3 linked regions of the Caenorhabditis elegans genome follow. The protein of the gene in region 1 purifies or fractionates together with the protein of each later gene. This does not show direct contact. Each region holds a gene or a part of one and is shown on either strand. Other genes may lie near its edges.

The links.
Region 2: the proteins of ttll-4 (region 1) and aly-3 fractionate together in Caenorhabditis elegans (co-fractionation; one large-scale study listed by BioGRID). This does not show direct contact.
Region 3: the proteins of ttll-4 (region 1) and aos-1 fractionate together in Caenorhabditis elegans (co-fractionation; one large-scale study listed by BioGRID). This does not show direct contact.

What each region holds. Positions count from the first base shown.
Region 1 is NC_003281.10:10,121,867-10,127,942, forward strand, and holds the start of ttll-4 (Tubulin polyglutamylase ttll-4), read left to right. Parts: upstream 1-2,316; coding exon 2,317-2,419; intron 2,420-5,927; coding exon 5,928-6,076. Other genes in the region: ham-3 (SWI/SNF chromatin-remodeling accessory subunit 1), read left to right, coding at 1-45, 152-452, 786-855. UniProt on the Caenorhabditis elegans protein: Monoglutamylase which modifies tubulin, adding a single glutamate on the gamma-carboxyl group of specific glutamate residues of target proteins. Involved in the side-chain initiation step of the polyglutamylation reaction but not in the elongation step.
Region 2 is NC_003282.8:12,121,256-12,126,080, forward strand, and holds aly-3 (Chromatin target of PRMT1 protein C-terminal domain-containing protein), read left to right. Parts: upstream 1-2,026; 5' UTR 2,027-2,058; coding exon 2,059-2,266; intron 2,267-2,316; coding exon 2,317-2,436; intron 2,437-2,483; coding exon 2,484-2,575; exon of another isoform or gene 2,576-2,991; coding exon 2,992-3,118; intron 3,119-3,168; coding exon 3,169-3,344; 3' UTR 3,345-3,554; downstream 3,555-4,825. Other genes in the region: M18.6 (CULT domain-containing protein), read left to right, coding at 122-347, 398-623, 671-1,222, 1,272-1,512; dhhc-6 (Palmitoyltransferase), read left to right, coding at 3,697-3,819, 3,867-4,152, 4,334-4,642, 4,691-4,825.
Region 3 is NC_003283.11:10,126,237-10,132,573, reverse strand, and holds aos-1 (SUMO-activating enzyme subunit aos-1), read left to right. Parts: upstream 1-2,278; 5' UTR 2,279-2,279; coding exon 2,280-2,374; intron 2,375-2,420; coding exon 2,421-2,598; intron 2,599-2,646; coding exon 2,647-2,915; intron 2,916-2,962; coding exon 2,963-3,310; intron 3,311-4,731; coding exon 4,732-4,894; 3' UTR 4,895-5,082; downstream 5,083-6,337. Other genes in the region: wdr-20 (WD repeat-containing protein 20 homolog), read left to right, coding at 1-9, 61-265, 313-1,078, 1,124-1,230, 1,362-1,643, 1,697-1,806; C08B6.10 (Proline-rich proteoglycan 2-like), read right to left, coding at 5,095-5,452. UniProt on the Caenorhabditis elegans protein: The dimeric enzyme acts as an E1 ligase for smo-1. It mediates ATP-dependent activation of smo-1 and formation of a thioester with a conserved cysteine residue on uba-2.

The sequences.
Region 1 (6,076 bases):
GGCCTGATGATGGTCAAGATAAAACTTCTGCTTGTTATGATATTGGTAAGAACTTTATAAATTAATTCTAGATTTTTTAAGACCGGAAGTTTGAAAATGTTTTAGTTTTTCAATTTTTCCTGTAAAAATCTCTTTCTCATTTTTTCTTCAGATGTCGAGCTCGAGGATCCAGTCAAACAACAAATGGCAAATTTCGTTCACAATCAAACAAATGCGAACGACATTCAACTACTTGATCAAAAAATATTCGACTTGGTAGATCAAATAAACGAGATGAAGCTGCGTCGTGATTTCTTCCTTCGTTTCTCGAACGAGCCCAGTGGATTCATCAAGAAATGGGTTGTAAGCCAGAATTCTGACTTGAAGACTTTAACAGAATCAAGTGGTGATGGAGAATCCGATCGTTATGCGACAACGTACAGTACAACTGATACAGATGAAGGTGTATCACGGTATGTTCATAAGCTAATTGAAAATATATTTATTTATAGAAAAAACTCAAATTTAACAATAGAAACCTAAAAATGTTTAAAATTGCCGAAAATTTCCTCGTTTTTGCGGAATTTTCAGCGATTTGTCAACATTTGTTTATAGTTTTAAAATAAATAAAAAATTTTTTAAAGAACCGAGGAAAAATTCCAAAACGATGAATTGCAGTTACAGTACTCCTTAAGGCTGCACAATTTTTCTAAATTTCTCCGTATTTTTGGCGAAAAAAATATCAAAAAAATTCACAAATGACTAATAATTTATCATTTTTATATCCAAAATTCTGTATTTTCCAGGTACATGTATCAGAAAATCCAACAAAAACGAGCCGAGCTGGAGCAAAGTCTCGGAATCCGCAACAATTAATAAATTATATCTCTTTCCGTATAATATCGATTTTTTCTCTCTTCCTTCTCCCTCTGCCGACCTGTAAACTGGGATCTCAACAACATTTTCAAAAATTCTCTTTTTATCGAATCTAATTACGTTTTATCTCAATTCTTCACTAATTATATAATTATTTTTCTCTCCACTCCAAACCAAATTTTAATTGATAAATTATATGCATTTTAAGCTTATGCTCGAAAATTTAAACAGTGGTTTATTTATCCAATTTATTTATTATTTTCTTTTTTACCACATGTGTGTAATATGTAAATTATAGGAAAAAACGCGCCTTTTGAAATCGAAGCACAAGTGCGCTCCATGGGCACGCGGGCTCCGCCTCAAAACGTTAGGTCTCGTTAGGTTTTTGGTGAAAAAATCGTACATTCAAACGTTTTCAATTAATTTTCCGGTTTTTTGTTTTTTTTTTTTGCTGTTTTCGGTTATTTTCAATGATTTTTACGTCGAGATCATGTTTAAAATTTTTAAAAAATCAATTTCGGCTTAAAAATGATTTGAAAAAAACAACGGAATACATTACAAAAAAACCTGCCTTTTATTTTTTTCGTCTTTTTTGCAATGTATTCCGTTGTTTTTTTCAAATCATTTTTAAGCCGAAATTGATTTTTTAAAAATTTTAAACTTTTACCTTGTATATACCTAACCAACTTTTTGGAGGCGGAGTGTGTTAATTGAGGCCCCACGAAAAGGGGAGCAGAACGAAAAGGGGATCTCCAAAAAGGGGATCTGCGAAAAGGGGAGATACGAAAAGGGGAGCTAACGAAAAGGGGATCTGGCACTGTGCCAAACGCTATTTTTCTCGAAGAAAACGATACAACGATGCTCCGATGTTACGCGTCGCGTGCTGTTAAGCGTATCCTCTAGAAGAAAATTTCAAAAATCAACGTGCGTTGCGTGAGAAAAATTGCGTTTTGTGCGTTTGGCACAGTGCCAGCTCCCCTTTTCGTTGCTCCCCTTTTCGTATCTCCATTTTTCGTATCTCCCCTTTTCGCAGATCCCCTTTTTGCAGATCCCCTTTTCGTTCTGCTCCCCTTTTCGTGGGGCCTCTGTTAATTTGACCGTGGAGCGCACTTGCCTCGATTTGTAGATTTACGTGCTCGTGTACTCTGCGTGGACAATCCTGATTTTTTTCGCTATTTTTCTTGCATTTAACATTTAAAAAAGTCACTTTTAAAAACTTTTAAAATGCCGGAAGCCATTCGAGATTTGAGATATGTAACATGTAAAATAAAACAACTAGAAAAAGAGCACTCGGAAAAAATTCCGGCTCTCCCGTTTTCTCTATCTCAGTCTCCTGCTTTATTACACACACACAGACATACTTTATCTCGGTCAACACAGACAGACACATCCTTATTCCTTTTTCCAATATTTATACATATATTTTCTCACATAATTTTTAATAAAAGAAATATATTTCAGATGAGTAGCGGGTATTCCTCTGCACCGAGTGTGTCTCATACATCAAGTGACACAGATTTGAATCGAATCGACAGCTATGATGATGGAGCTGAAGAGACAACAGGTAATTACCGGAAGTTTTTTGACAAAATTTTTTAGCTTTTTTTGTTTTGTCTTTATGGCAAATCCTTCACTTTCCGTGGCGAGAAACAGAAAAATTGATCTGAAAATTTGTAAAAATTGCATTTTTTCAGTACTCTCGAGACTTTTTAAATTTTGAATTGCTGAGCTTTTTTTTCATTAAAATTTTACCCAGATGCAAAATTTTGTCTCGAAGCGACATTTTTTGTTAATGTAAATAGGTGTGCGCCTTTAAAGAGTACTGTAATTTCAAACTTTCCGCGCTACGGAGTTTTTAATCAATTTTTCATAGTTTTTCTTTTGAAACATATAAGTTTTAGAAAATGTGAGTAAAAATTTTTAAAATAGAATTGGAAATTACAGTACTCTTTAAAGGCGCACACCTTTTTGCAACTAACAACTATTTGTCGTGTCGAGACCGGTTACCATATTTGGCGCCAAATTTCGTGTCTGGATTATTATCCAGACACGAAACGAGACACGAGGAAGCTTTTTATGAAATTTTTATTATTTTTTTGAGAAAAAATCGGGAATTTTTTAAGTTGGGTGAAAACAAATTTCAGATTGAAAAGAAAATCCAATATTTTTTTTTCGAAAAAATTGGCATCTTTATGGAAGTTTCTTCTGAAAAGTTTTTAGATTTTTAAAACAAAATTTTTTTAAGATTGAAAAGTAATTGGAAATATGCAAAAATCCACTTTTTGAGCAATTTTGCGGGGCTCAATGGTAGTGAAAAAATGCGACGAAAAAAACATTTTCAAATCGAATTTTTTAAAAACTTCTTTTTAAAAAAGTCACAATTCTAGTTTTTGATTCGACGTTCCGATTACTAAATGATCATAGATGGTTGTTTATTTTTGTATTCGACATCTTCTTTTTCTCACCGTCATTTTATTAGAAATCACAAGTTGTTTTTCATTTTCTCAAACCTTTTCGCCCAAAAAAATCTCTAATCTTAAATTAAATATCTCTTTTAAAAATAATAAACTTTAGGTTTTCCGTTGAGAAATCTACGAAAAACTAGTCCCTTGAGTTTTTGTTTTATCCGCTTGTCGATCTTCCTCTAACCTAAAAATTCAACTATTTCCACAAGCGCTTCTCTTTTTTTTTTGAAATTTTTTCTGTTGAAGAGAGCATAAGTAGTACTTCATCTCAAAAGATAAAGCTTCAAAAGCATGAAGTCGTAGACATTGTTTTATGATGCTCAAGAATTTTGTTGAAGCGAAAGAAAATCTGTGAAAAAGCTTCTAGCGTTAATGAGAATTTATATTTACTAAAATCTTTGAAATTTTTATAAAAATTTTAGTTTTAATGCCAAAAAATACCAAAAAGAACAGATTACAGTTTGAAAAATAGAAATTATATTTCTATAGAAAAGGAGAATTTTTAAATTATTTACTTGAGAAAATTTGAAAAAAAATTCCAAACAAACATGACCAAAAAAAATTTTTCCTGGATTTTTTGTACTTTTTGAGAAAAAAAAACATTTTTGTAGAATAATTATAGGTAGATTTCAAGCTAAAAACATAGAAATATCTTTCTTTTTTTTTTGAAATAAAAACAGTTAACAATTTTTTTTAAAGTTTCACTATGAAATTTGACCATTTCCCCACTGATAAAAAATTAAATTTACTGACAGGAATTTTATTTTTAAAAAAGTTGCAGAAATAATAAATTTTCTTAAAACTGTAGAAATTATTTTTTTGTAAATATAAAAATTGCTGAAATAATTTCAGAATTGCAGAAATTATATTTTTTTAAAATATATAAAAATTGTAGAAACTATGTTCAAATTGAAAAAATTATATATTCTTTTAATACAAAAGGTGCAATTTTTTTTTTGACGGACTCCTAAAGTTACCATAAAGAAGCCGTATTTGGCGCCCTATTTTGGAGGAAATTCGAAAAAAATCACTTTTTCAAGGTATTTTTGTTACAGTTGCGTTGCAAAAATAGTAGAAATGACAAATAAAAAACCAGCAAAAAAACAAAAGTCAAAAAAAAGAAGATGCTCAAGAGAGCCCTAACTTCGTTGCCAGACACCGCATAAAACACATTTACTTCCCCGCCGTTACCACCATAACAATCACGACACTTTTTCGTTCACTTCTCACTCTGTTCTTCTTCTTCTTCTTCTCGCTCGTCGTCGCTTTACACCTATAACGTTCAAATAAACAAAAAAATAATTGTGTAGTGATGTATCTCTTTTTGTCTCCGTTGACACCACCATCACTACCACCCTTTGAGGAGAGAGCATGAAGATTACTGCTGCTGGGGGGGGGCTTAGTGAGAAATAGGAGATGATATAGTGATTAGAGATACATACGTTTTAAACTATGAGTGAGTGATGGCAGAAAACTAGGGAAAAAACTACCAAGAAAACAAAACAAAGAACTCTCGGATACTAATCTTTAGTTTTATTTTTTTTTGTCTTGCTTTACGAGAAAGAAAAAGCAAAATGACAGCTTTTTTACTCACAGAAAAACGTTGTTGAGCTCACTTTTTTTTTGGCTTTTTTTAAATGAAAAATCCTACAGAAAATGTAGCCATTCTGAATTTATTTTTAAGAGAATCAGAAAAATGTGCTTATCACGTTTTACGATTATGGCAACAATTTAAGGAGTTTTAGTACTTTTCTCTCTAAAAAAACGTTTTTACTGGAAATTTTTTTTCTGATAATTTTGCCAAATTTGCAGGAAATTTTTCCCCACATTAAAAAATTGTTCAAACTTTATATCAGGGGTGGGCGGCAAACGATTTTTCCGGCAAATCGGCAAGTTACCGGAATTGAATATTTCCGGCAAATCGGCAAACCGCCAAATAGCCTGAATTGAACATTTCCGGCAAATAGGCAATTTTCCGGAACTGAAAATTTCCGACAAATTGGCAAACCGGCAATGTGCCGGAAAAACGGCAAACTGGTGAACTTGCCGGAATTGAAAATTTCTGGTAAATCGGCAAACCGGAAATTGGCCGAATTTGCCGGAAAAACGGCAATCGCTGAAAATTTTTGGCAAATTGTGGTTTTACACACTTTTTTTTGGAAATTTCAGAATTTAAATTTTAATCGGCAAAATTGTACGCGTCCTATGAATGTTCCTACATTTATTTTAAAAAGTAAAAAAATTATATGAAATATCTAAAGAAAACGGGAAAAAAATTTCAAAAAAGCACAGTTTTAAGTGTTTCCGTATTATAAAAAAATCCCCCTAAACACTTCCGGCAAATTGATGTTCGGCAAATGGCAAATCGGCAAACCGGCAGTTTGCCGAATTGGTCGACAAAAAAGTTGCCGAAAAATTTCTGAGTTAAAAACTGCCATTTTGTTTTTTCCCGTAAAGAAAAACTAAAAATAACTAGAGATTAGTAGATATTTGAGTTTTGTTTTGCACTCCCTTCACCCAATTTTAACTCAAAAAAATAAATAAATATTTATTATTCCATCTCATTTCTCTCTCATTATATATATCTATCAACACTCCAATTTTCAGATGAACAACGAATGTGTGGTCTGAGTGAGCTTGTGACATCGTGTCTCACGTCATCTCGTTTGAAGGCTATCGACGAAGAAGATGAAGAAGAAAATTGTAATGATATTGAAATTGTTGGATTGAGCAAGACGACGACAAAAGTGAAAAGA
Region 2 (4,825 bases), on another chromosome or scaffold:
CGCACTCTCCACTGTCTAGCATGTAGCAACAGAGCGCACCTGCATTGTTTTTTTTTTGTCAAAAAAAAACAATCCTGTTTTTATCCTATTTAATTTTGTTTTTAAAATGAGCGAAGAAGAAATGGAACTTATTCAAGACGAAGATGAATCAGAATCAGAAGATTTTTATGACGCAGAAGATGCGGAGCCACAAGCCATGGAAGGACTGAATGTTGACGTGACTCACAGATTCGATTATGCTCTTCAAGACAATGAAAATAGAGAAAATTATGAAAATGAAGCCAGACTCACAGATTATGGAACAAATTGGTTTCCGATTTGTGGAGTCAGTGCTGTTTGTTTTCCTGGTGAGTTACATTTAAAAAGAAAAACCTCCCGATTTCATATTAGTTTACAGGGCAACAACTCCCGATGAAATTCCACGATGATGAACGAGAAATCTATGAAAGACTTGTATCGAGTGCTCGAGCTAATGGATTTGTTGTACTGTTTCCATTGGATATTCCAGAATGCACATCACTCCCATATATTGCTACACTTTCTAGAGTTGTTCAAGCAAATTCTAACGCTCTGAGTATGGAGTTGATGGGCGTCTACAGATGTAAAGTTTTGAAGTATAATTTGTAAGTTTTACGAAACATAATTTCCTTCTAATTTCTTTCAAATTCAGAGGGCGTGGTGAAGCAGAAGTACAATTGCTACCAGACGTCGAACTTCCATCGTTACTTCCATCATTTATTCCGAAATATGCAATACATTTACCTGCTCACGAAAAACGTTCAATTGCAACCCGAATCAATGGATATCCATTCAATGCTATTCGAGATGTTACAGAAAGTGCTGTGAATGAATGCGTGGGACTACTTTCAGGAATGCTTGGAGATGACACTGTGAGACAAGCTAAAGATCGTGGCCTCACATACTTCAGCTATTTTGCTGCAAAGCATATTTTCTCTAATCGGCTAACTGAGTACAGTCTCTTGAAAGAAGATTCAGCGAACGGTCGTATAGTTGCTGCTCTGAAGTATTTCAAAGTATTTGTCGGGAGATGTTCTAGATGTCGCATTCCAATTTTCCGCAATGAACATATCATGAGGCTTCCAGATCAAACAATGACTCATGTTAATGCTCACGGATTTGTTCACAAAATTACCTTACTGTCAGAAATACGAAACTATGATCGAGCTACACCACCATCATATGAATTCACATGGTTTCCAGAGTCAGCTTATTCAAATACCTCTTTATCATTAAATTAGTCAGATTTTCAGGTACGCATGGATTATCATTCAGTGCTCCAGATGTCATGAACACCTTGGATGGGAATATATCAGCATGACTCGTGAACCACGACGCTTTTTCGGAATTCAACGAGAAGGAATTACGTTTCAAAACGAATTACAAGAAGGCGATACAGAGGAAAATTGGGATCATGTTCCAGAGTTTGACAACGATGATCAAGAAGAAGAAGATGATGCGATGAATTTTATACGGTTAATTCTGCGTCGATGAATACTGTATCCTATTTAGTTACTTTGCTAGATATACATCACTGGTCTCAAAATAATTTTCAAGAATGATTTTTCGTTGCCAATTGGCCTTAAGAAGTAATAAACTTTTTGTATGAGCCACTCGTTGTGTCGTTAGTTTTAAATACTTGTTTCCATCCTTTTTCTTACTTTGAATTATTATTTGAAAAACGTTAAAATTTCTCTACACTGATTTTAAGCTGTCAATTTGTTTGTTTCCCTAATTCTCTGCAAAAAAATGTGTTGAGAATTTTATTCAAATAAGAGGTAACGTATGCTGTTGACCGCGTTGCGTACGCGTCGCGGTCACCAAACGCAGCGTTTTTCTCAGTTTCCTCATTTGCTCATTCCTATCTTTTCATTCATTATTTCTCATTCCACTTTGGTCTCCGCTACATTTGCTCTTCCGAATAATTATAATTTTTTTCTTTGTTTTTTCCCGTGAACTTACTTTTGATCTTAAACCAAATGTTGTCGTTCTAATTCAATTGAAAAACGTTTCAGTTTCAACTCCAACAATCTTCGAAAAATGGTTAAGGCTACCAATGTCGATTTGTCTCTTGAGGACATCATCTCTAAAACCAGAAAGACAACTGGAAGCATTCAAAAGAAATCCTTCGGAGGAGCTCGACGAGGAAATACGAGACCCACTGGACTTCCACGCCGCTCCGGCGGAAGTGGTGGATGGAAAGACTTGGACGCGGTTCAGAATCATGGAATTTCAAGCAGAGGAAATGGTGGGTTTCAAATCAATATGTATCTTATTTTCTACTCATTTTGATTATAGATAGCAAGGTTATTAGAGTAAATATCTCTAATCTTGCCCCAACAGTCATTTCAAGCGATTTGGAGGAACTCTTCGGCGACTACAGACTCAGCTCAGTTTCGGTCAACTTCAACGAGCATGGTAAGCTTGATAATATATGCAACCGTATTGAACCAATTTATTTTCAGGTGATTCATTGGGTACTGGTGACATTTCGCTCACCAAACGTGATGCTGAGAGACTTGTTCAGAAGTTTAGCGGTGTCGCTCTAGATGGAAAGGTATTGCATTGGGATACAACAAATCGATAACAAAGACTTTGAAACAATCAATTGGGGCTGAATCCTGATTAAAGTGTGTGCTCCAGCGGACGCTCCTGAATGCGTTCTGTTCTTCTTCTACCAGTTCACAGAAATCTACTGTACGCAACAACAGACCCAGGCAATCAGAATCTCGTTGTTTCCTTTCAAAAAGAGACTTAATAAACCTGTGTTGAGGTTTTTTTGTTGAGTGTGGCCGTTCATTCGATGAAGCTCGTTGAAATTAGTTTTGACCCGTGTCGTGAGATGGATTGTGAGGGGAAAGCCGTTGCTGTCGACACGCATTAATTGATTGGCTCGAGACTTGGTTATTCAAGATTTCTCCGTTACCCAAATCCTGATCTCAGGTGACACAAAATGGAACATGAATATTTCAGATCATGAAATTCGCCGTCATTGATTCGAGCAACATGGCTGGGAGAGTCGATTTTGGAAACAGATCTCGTAGTTCACCGGGAAGATCATCTCGTGGATTCCAATCGGGTCCTCGCAGAAACAATGGCAGTACGTTTTAATGATTAAATTGTGTTCACCAGAATAATCTTTATTTTCAGAACCAGAAGATTTCCTCCGCGACGGAGTGCACGCCGGTGACATCAAGAGAGGCGGAGCTGGTCGAGGTGGATTCCGCAAGGGAGGCCGTGGTGGAGCTCGTGATGCAAAACCAAAGAAGACCGAAGCTGAACTCGACGCGGAGCTCGAAGCCTACATGGCGAAGCGAAATGCCTGAGCACTTTTTTTTTAAACTATAAATCACTTTTTGAACATTCTTGATATCTGCTATAATCTCTGATCCTTCTGTTGTTCTATCACATTAATAACTCGGAATATTTTACACAATCACCAATTTTTATATTTATCGTTCTACTACTTTCCTTTCTCGTGATCTTTTTGTCCACATTTTAAAAATTCGATAAAATAATAAACTGAGCGTCAATAATTTCTTATTGGATCAAGTATGAAGTCGATTTTCGATGGAAGAATATCGTTGTCAGTTATGTGGATTCACCCAGGTCGCCACAATTATGTTCGAAATTTGATTTAATTTTAAATATTTTATTATTGAAATTTAATCAATTCAGATGACGGGTGAGGTGGTGGAGACTCCGGATTGGCCTGCTCCAATTGCAGAAATTGGAGATAAGCCTGTATTTAGACGAATGTTCCATTTTGGAACCATTTTTGCATTCTCCACAATAACCATGGTATTTTTTATATAATTTTGATCATTATAAAATAATATTTGATTCAGATTGGAGCAGTAACAACATTTTTTGCTCTTCAGTGGATGCCTGTTACTTCATACATGGGACTTTTCAATACACTAACATTTTTATTGTGGAATTATTTAACAATAGGAAATCTCTTCAACGCTTCATTCTTCGGTCCAGGATATGTGCCACGTGGCTGGAGACCAGAGAATGCAGCCGACGAGAAGAAACTTCAATTTTGTGTTCCGTGCAACGGATTCAAAGTTCCAAGATCTCACCATTGCTCAAAATGTGATCGTTGTTGTATGAAAATGGATCATCATTGTCGTAAGTTTCTAGATTAGGCCGAGCTTCTTCAATAAATAATAGATAGAGTATCGTCGGGTTTTTTGCTCGAACAGACAGTAAAGATTCTCAATATATTTACCGAATATAGCTGGAATAAAATAATACAATTTTTTAAATTTTTATGATTTTGCAAAAATCTACAAATTATATTATATTTCAGCTTGGATCAACAATTGTGTCGGTCACCGAAACCATCAATATTTCCTTCGTTTCCTGTTCTTCTCAGTTGTTGGATGTATTCACTCGACTATCATTGATGGTTCAGCACTCTATCACGCAATCTTTGCTGGATGGTATCAGAAATATGGCGATGGAACGGAGCCTATAATCCTTCTTACACCAATTTCCTTCATTGCTCTCGTATTTGCAATCGCAATGGCCATTGCTGTTGCTCTGGCTCTCACTTTTCTATTCATAACTCAACTACGATATGTGATTCGAAACAGAAATGGAATTGAAGACTATATTCGTGAGCTGCTTCTGACAATTTTTTTAAAAATACCTACTGTGTTTTCAGATGGAAAGTCTCTGAACATGCGTAAAGTCCATGAAGGTGACGATGAAGAAGAAATTGAATGGATCAAGAGTCTGGGTGAATGGACGTATCCATATGATCTTGGTTGGAAGAGAAATCTTCGTGAAGTTTTTATTG
Region 3 (6,337 bases), on another chromosome or scaffold:
CATAAAGAGGTTTCTTTTTGTTTCTAAAATTGGAAGCATATATTTATATTGATTTTGCAGGGTGACAAGTTCGCGATTCACACGTGGAAAGGCAAAGTTCAGCGGAATCCAGTTACCAGGTGGCAAATTGGAGAAGGTTCAATTCACCAGTTCAGTTTCTCTGGATCAGATGGGAAAATGATGGCCACGGTGTCACATGATGGGTTCCTCAGGATTTTCAATTATCATGCACAAGAATTGCTGGCAGTTATGAAATCATATTTCGGTTGGTTCATTATCTTCGAAAAAAATCAAATATTCATGAAATTTAAGGTGGATTGCTTACGCTCTCATGGAGCCCTGATGCAAAATTGATTGCCACTGGCGGCGAAGATGATCTTCTAACAGTTTATAGTGTAGCTGAGAAACGAGTAGTTTGCAGAGGACAAGCTCACAAAAGTTGGGTTAGTCAGGTCAAGTTTGATCCTTATTTATGCACAACCGAAGAAGATCTGGAAAATAATGGTATTGCGATGACATCTACGTTTGACGACGTTGCAAAGGATTTCTCAATACGTTCGGGACCAGTACCATCTACTAGTGCAGATTTGAATTCTGGAGTGATGAATGCAACTTCAACATTCTCTCGTTGTTCACTTGCTTCGTTTAACACTATCAACGGAGCTCCAGCTGGAAACAGTGTCCGTTATCGAATAGGAAGTGTTGGACACGACACATTTCTATGCCTGTGGGATATAACAGAAGATATGTTGAACCAAGGAAACATTCGACGTCATCGAAATTCAACAATAATTGCCCCAATGACTACCCTCGAAGTACAGACGAATTCTCTAGTTGGAAGACTTGAAGATCTTCAGGAAGTCTCTCCTGGTGGTGCTGGTGTTAATGCATCTTCTGATTCACAGTCTATAACTAATAATCACACAACTCCTCGCCCAGAAAAACAAAAAAAGAAGAAATTTACAAAACGTCTAGGATTTTCGAAGTTTACTTCTGGAAGCTCCAGTGCTACATCAAATCCGGTTGGTGGCCACAAAATTGGCACATTGATGAATGGTGCATCAGTAAATTCTGAAAGGTATGTCGATTTATTCAGAATTTATAATAATATGTTAATTTTCAGTTCCAAGAAACAAAACCCCGGGCTAATTTCTCAAATAAGCTGCTGTAACGAAACGCGGATGTTGGGTTCTAAATTTTGTCCAGGGATTCGAGATGTTCCTATGATCGGTAAGCTTATACTTAAAATTAAAATACGATTCACTAGTCAGATCCGGAAAATCGCGAAATTTTTGAATCATTTTTCTATCACGAAAAAAAAGACAAAATGAACGAGAAAGCACTTGTGAAATATTTTTCAGAACCGTTAATGTGCAAAAAAGTATCGCATGATCGTCTGACAGTTCTTGAATTCCGAGAAGATTGTGTTGTGACTGCTTGTCAAGAGGGATATATCTGCACATGGGGCCGCCCCGGCAGATATCAACCAAAACGAGATTGCATCAATTCACCAGGAACAGCAAGTCCGGAATCAGGTCAAAAACCATCTGGATCTACGTCCGCTATGACTTCTTCATATGGATACGGCTCAGATGCTTTGAATGGAGTTCCACCTTCACGATCATCAAGTACCTACAGTAATAGTGAGTTTATTTAATCTAAGAAAATGTCTCTAAAAGTTTTCCAAGTTACTTAGGCGAACAACAACTTCGTTCACCGAATATCACATCCCCGTCATACCGGGTTTCAGCTGCCAGTACTTCTGTTTATCATCGCCCAACATATGCCTGGCAGAATGCAAATTAACCACTCCACTTCGGGTATCTTAAATTTTCTTTACTAGGTTCTTATTCTTTTTTATTGTTCACTTAATCTTATTTATTGTCGTCAAGCGTAATGCTCTGATCTTTAGGATGTATACTGTAACATGATTTTTCTGGATTATTTCTAATTGTAAAGCCCGGCAAAGTTGTTTGCCATTGTTTGCAAACTATGATCACCTGCTCACATTTTTCTTTTATTAATGACTTAACGTTCCAACTTCGCAGATTTAATTTTCTATATTACTGTGCCAGTAGGATCCATGTGCCTAGTTTTTCTTCACCCTAAAACTCACCCCGTTTCATTCTCGTTGTTTAATTTCTGGTCTAATGAATTGTGTATTTATTTAAATATCGTTATTTTACTTCTTCTCGATTTTATTCGGTTCACCTTGCCGTTCATATTAACCATTTTTGCTAAATGTTTTCATATTTTTTGTGATTGCCATAATTTGCAGAATGTCCGAAGCAAAAGAAAATATGGAGGTCAGCAAAGCTGAACAGGCGATTTACGATCGACAAATTCGTTTATGGGGAATGGAAGCTCAAAATAAGTAAGTTTAAATTTTTTCGAATAAAATACTATTGTTTCGTTTTCAGAATCCGAAACTCTAAAGTTTTGATTATTGGTGGAAAACAGCTTGGTGCGGAAGTGGCAAAAACTCTGTCACTCGCTGGTGTTGACGAGATGCATTTAGTTGATCATCGGCTTGTTGATACAGAAGAAATTGGTATGAATTTTCTCTACGACGCTTCGGTTGATAATTCAAAGATGACGGTTTGTAATTAATTCGAATTATACATATCTTATGAACGTTGTTTTCAGAAATGGGCGGCATCATACAATTTTCTTTATAATTTGAACCGCAATGTGAAACTTTTCATCGTCGAGGAAGATGTTCTATCGAAAAATGATTCGGAAATCGAAGAGTATTTGACTAAATTCACGTTGGTTGTTGTTCTCGACGAGAGTTACGAACGTACTGCAAAAGTGAACAATATCTGCCGTAAACACCACATCAGATTTATTTCTGGAGCAATCTACGGATGGATTGGCTACGCATTTTTCGATTTCGATGGCCATGCTTATTTAGTGTAAGTTAAATCGTTTTAAAAGTCTCATCCCAATATTTCTTTTAAAGAAAAGCTAAAAGCCCGGATTGCTTGAATGAAGAAGAATCGGAAACCGGAAAGACGAGCACAGTGGTTACGGTAGATGAAGAATTCGTGCTTGAAACGTTTTCATATCCATCATTTGTCGAAACGCTCAACTCTGATTTCACGGCGAAGAAAATTGTGAGAAAGTGCAAACGGATCGTTCCAACATCATATTTCCTCGTGAAAAGTATGCTCCGCGCTTCCAGCGAAAATAAACTTACCGGAGTCACTGAAAACGATATTGAGAAATTAATTCCAATCTGGAACGAGGAGGTGGCCGCTGGAAATCATACCATCGATATGCAACCAGTTCAACCCGATCGATTTGATCAGTGAGTATTATTCGCACGAAAATTATAAAATGAATCAATAAAAAACATAGAATGTATTATCTTTTTAATTATTTAAAAAAACAAGTTAAAAATGTATCGTAATTTCAAAAAACGGTAGCATTCCGTCTTAAAGACGCACGGACTTATTCATGTGTCTCGATCAGGGCTCTGATCAAAAAACAAAAAATATGCAAAAAAGGTTTATGGTAGTTTTTTTTTTCAAATTTTCGCGTCTGCTTCCAATTTTTTTCTCGCACTTTTCAATGAAACTACTTCATTTTTAACGAATTTTGTCATTTTGTTTTTAACGCACAAATCAACTGTTTTTCATGAAATTTAAAGCAAAAAAAAATTTACTAAATATTAGGTCTCCAAATAAGTTCCGGGTCAAAAATCATAACTTTGTTCGCTGCGAATCGATTTTTATGAAACTGTGGGAATTTATGTTATCAACCATGATCTTTCATTTGCAAATAGTCACAAATTTTTTTTGGCCGTCCGAAGTGCCCTAACTCGGAGCCAATTTTTTCAGGCATTTTTCAGATCTCGCTTCTTTTCAGGTTTCAATTGAGGTTTGTGTGCGGATTTTGCTTAGTTTAATACACAATGTAAGAAAACAAGAAAAGTTTGGAAAAAAATCCCTCCAAAAAAAAAATTTTTGTCGAAAATTTTTGCTTTTTTATACAAAAATGATGTAACCATGTGTAAACTATTTTTACACATACAAAACATTTGAGTATGATATTTGGATCTCGAGAAATAATCCAAAAATTCGAAAAAGCTGTGTTTTCTGTTATTATTTCAGTGTGACGCACTAAATTGAAATGTTTTGTATGTGTAAAAATAGTTTACACATGGTTACATCATTTTTGTATAAAAAAGCAAAAATTTTCGACAAAAATTTTTTTTTTGGAGGGATTTTTTTCCAAACTTTTCTTGTTTTCTTACATTGTGTATTAAACTAAGCAAAATCCGCACACAAACCTCAATTGAAACCTGAAAAGAAGCGAGATCTGAAAAATGCCTGAAAAAATTGGCTCCGAGTTAGGGCACTTCGGACGGCCAAAAAATTTTGTGACTATTGCCAAATGAAAGATCATGGTTGATAACATAAATTCCCACAGTTTCATAAAAATCGATTCGCAGCGAACAAAGTTATGATTTTTGACCCGGAACTTATTTGGAGACCTAATATGTTCATTGAAAAATGTAATGAAGCCGCCGCAAAGATAAGAAAAGCTACCATTAACTTTGTTGTGCGCTGAGACCCATCTAAAAGAACTCCGTGCGCCTTTAAGAATGTATGTAAAAATCTTGTGAAATTACAATAATGCCATTTTAATGTTACGTCCAAAAATCGAAACTCTTGTTCTGCTGCCATTGCAAAAACTTGCAATATTTTCAAAATTGTAATTTTTCAGTTTGTTCGGACCAAACTTTGGACCAACAGCAGCATGTGTCGGTGGAGTAATTGGACAAGAAGCTATTAAATCAATTTCGGAAGGAAAGAATCCACTTCGCAATTTGTTCATCTATACCGGCTTCGAATCAACTGGTTTTATGTGCAATTTCCCACCAGTATAATTTATTGCTTTCATGGTTTTCTGTTGGCTTCTTTTCCGTTCTCAAATCTCAAATTTTCAATCTCATTTTTAATTTAATTTATCACTTTCATCAATTTAAAACTCAATCTCTCTGGTTATTCATTTTATTGTTAATTCTTGGTGTGAATATCGGTGTATGACCAATGGTTTATGAACAATGATATCATGTGTATACATTTCTCAAAGTCCTCTCCATCCGAATGGAGGAGGCGGCCCTGGTGGAGGCGGTCCCCAAGGTGGTGGCGGGCGTCGCCACCAAGGGCCCCGCATCCAAGGTGGACGATGGTGATGATGATGATGCCAACCATCAAAATCTGGTGGTGGAGGTCCTCTGTCTCTCCAATCAGGACGCCATTCTTCATCTGTTGACTGCTGTTGTTGATCCCAATTATTCTGTGGAGACTCTAGCTGCTGCTGGGGTTGCTGTATCTGTGGAGCCCATGTTGTTTGTATTACAGTTGGTTGCCGTCTAATTGGAGCAGCGGTTACCGGATTTGAAGGTGTAGGATTGGCTGGCGAAGGAATACCTGGTGGTCCTCTGAAATTATTTATTGGGACTTTGATAATGTTTTGTTTTTATATTATTTACCAGCCGTGGACCGCACCTCCGGCGCGGCCCCCGACTTCTGGAGCTGAAAACCAATTTTTCTGAAACTGCCGTAATCATACAGTACTCCTACCGTACCACCATTGTACCACTACAGTACCCCGACTATATCCCTACACTAACCCCAACTCACTATCCCTCCAGAAGCTAAAACTTCGCAGACTACAAAGACTACATAGACTACAAACTATGGACAAACGGAATACGCGCTTTATATATAGTAAATGATGATTTGTTAGCAATTTTTCAAAGTTTCAGTCGCTACGGAATTTAGAAAATGCTTATCATATACCGTGTTTCTTCTATTAATATGGCTGCAATACTATTTTTCGATGGACTTCCCGCTTGCAATACTAATAGGGAGTGCAAGACTATTAGGGAGTGCAATACTAATTTTCAGAACATTTTTCTGACTTTGAGCTTACTAGTTTTTTTTCTGAAAAAGCTCGAATCTTATGTAAAAATTCAGAAAATTTGACTTTAATTGTAACATATAAGTTCAAAAACTTCAATCTCGTAGAAATGTTGTGAAAAACTGTTGCAAAATAGGCAAATTTTTTTGTTGAAATCCTGAAGTTAACAAGACGGGCCTGCAATAAAAAATAGTAAACGCAAGGCTATTAGGGAGTGCAAGACTAATAGGGAGTGCCATACTAATTTTCGGAAGGTCTCCGAGGGGCAATACTAATAGGGAGTGCAAGTCTAATAGGGAGGCCATATTAATAGAAGATATACGGTATTCGTAAAAATGTTACTTTCAATACACACTTCAGTTTGTGTTTCTGATATCGCTACGATTTCCAAAAAATACATCAT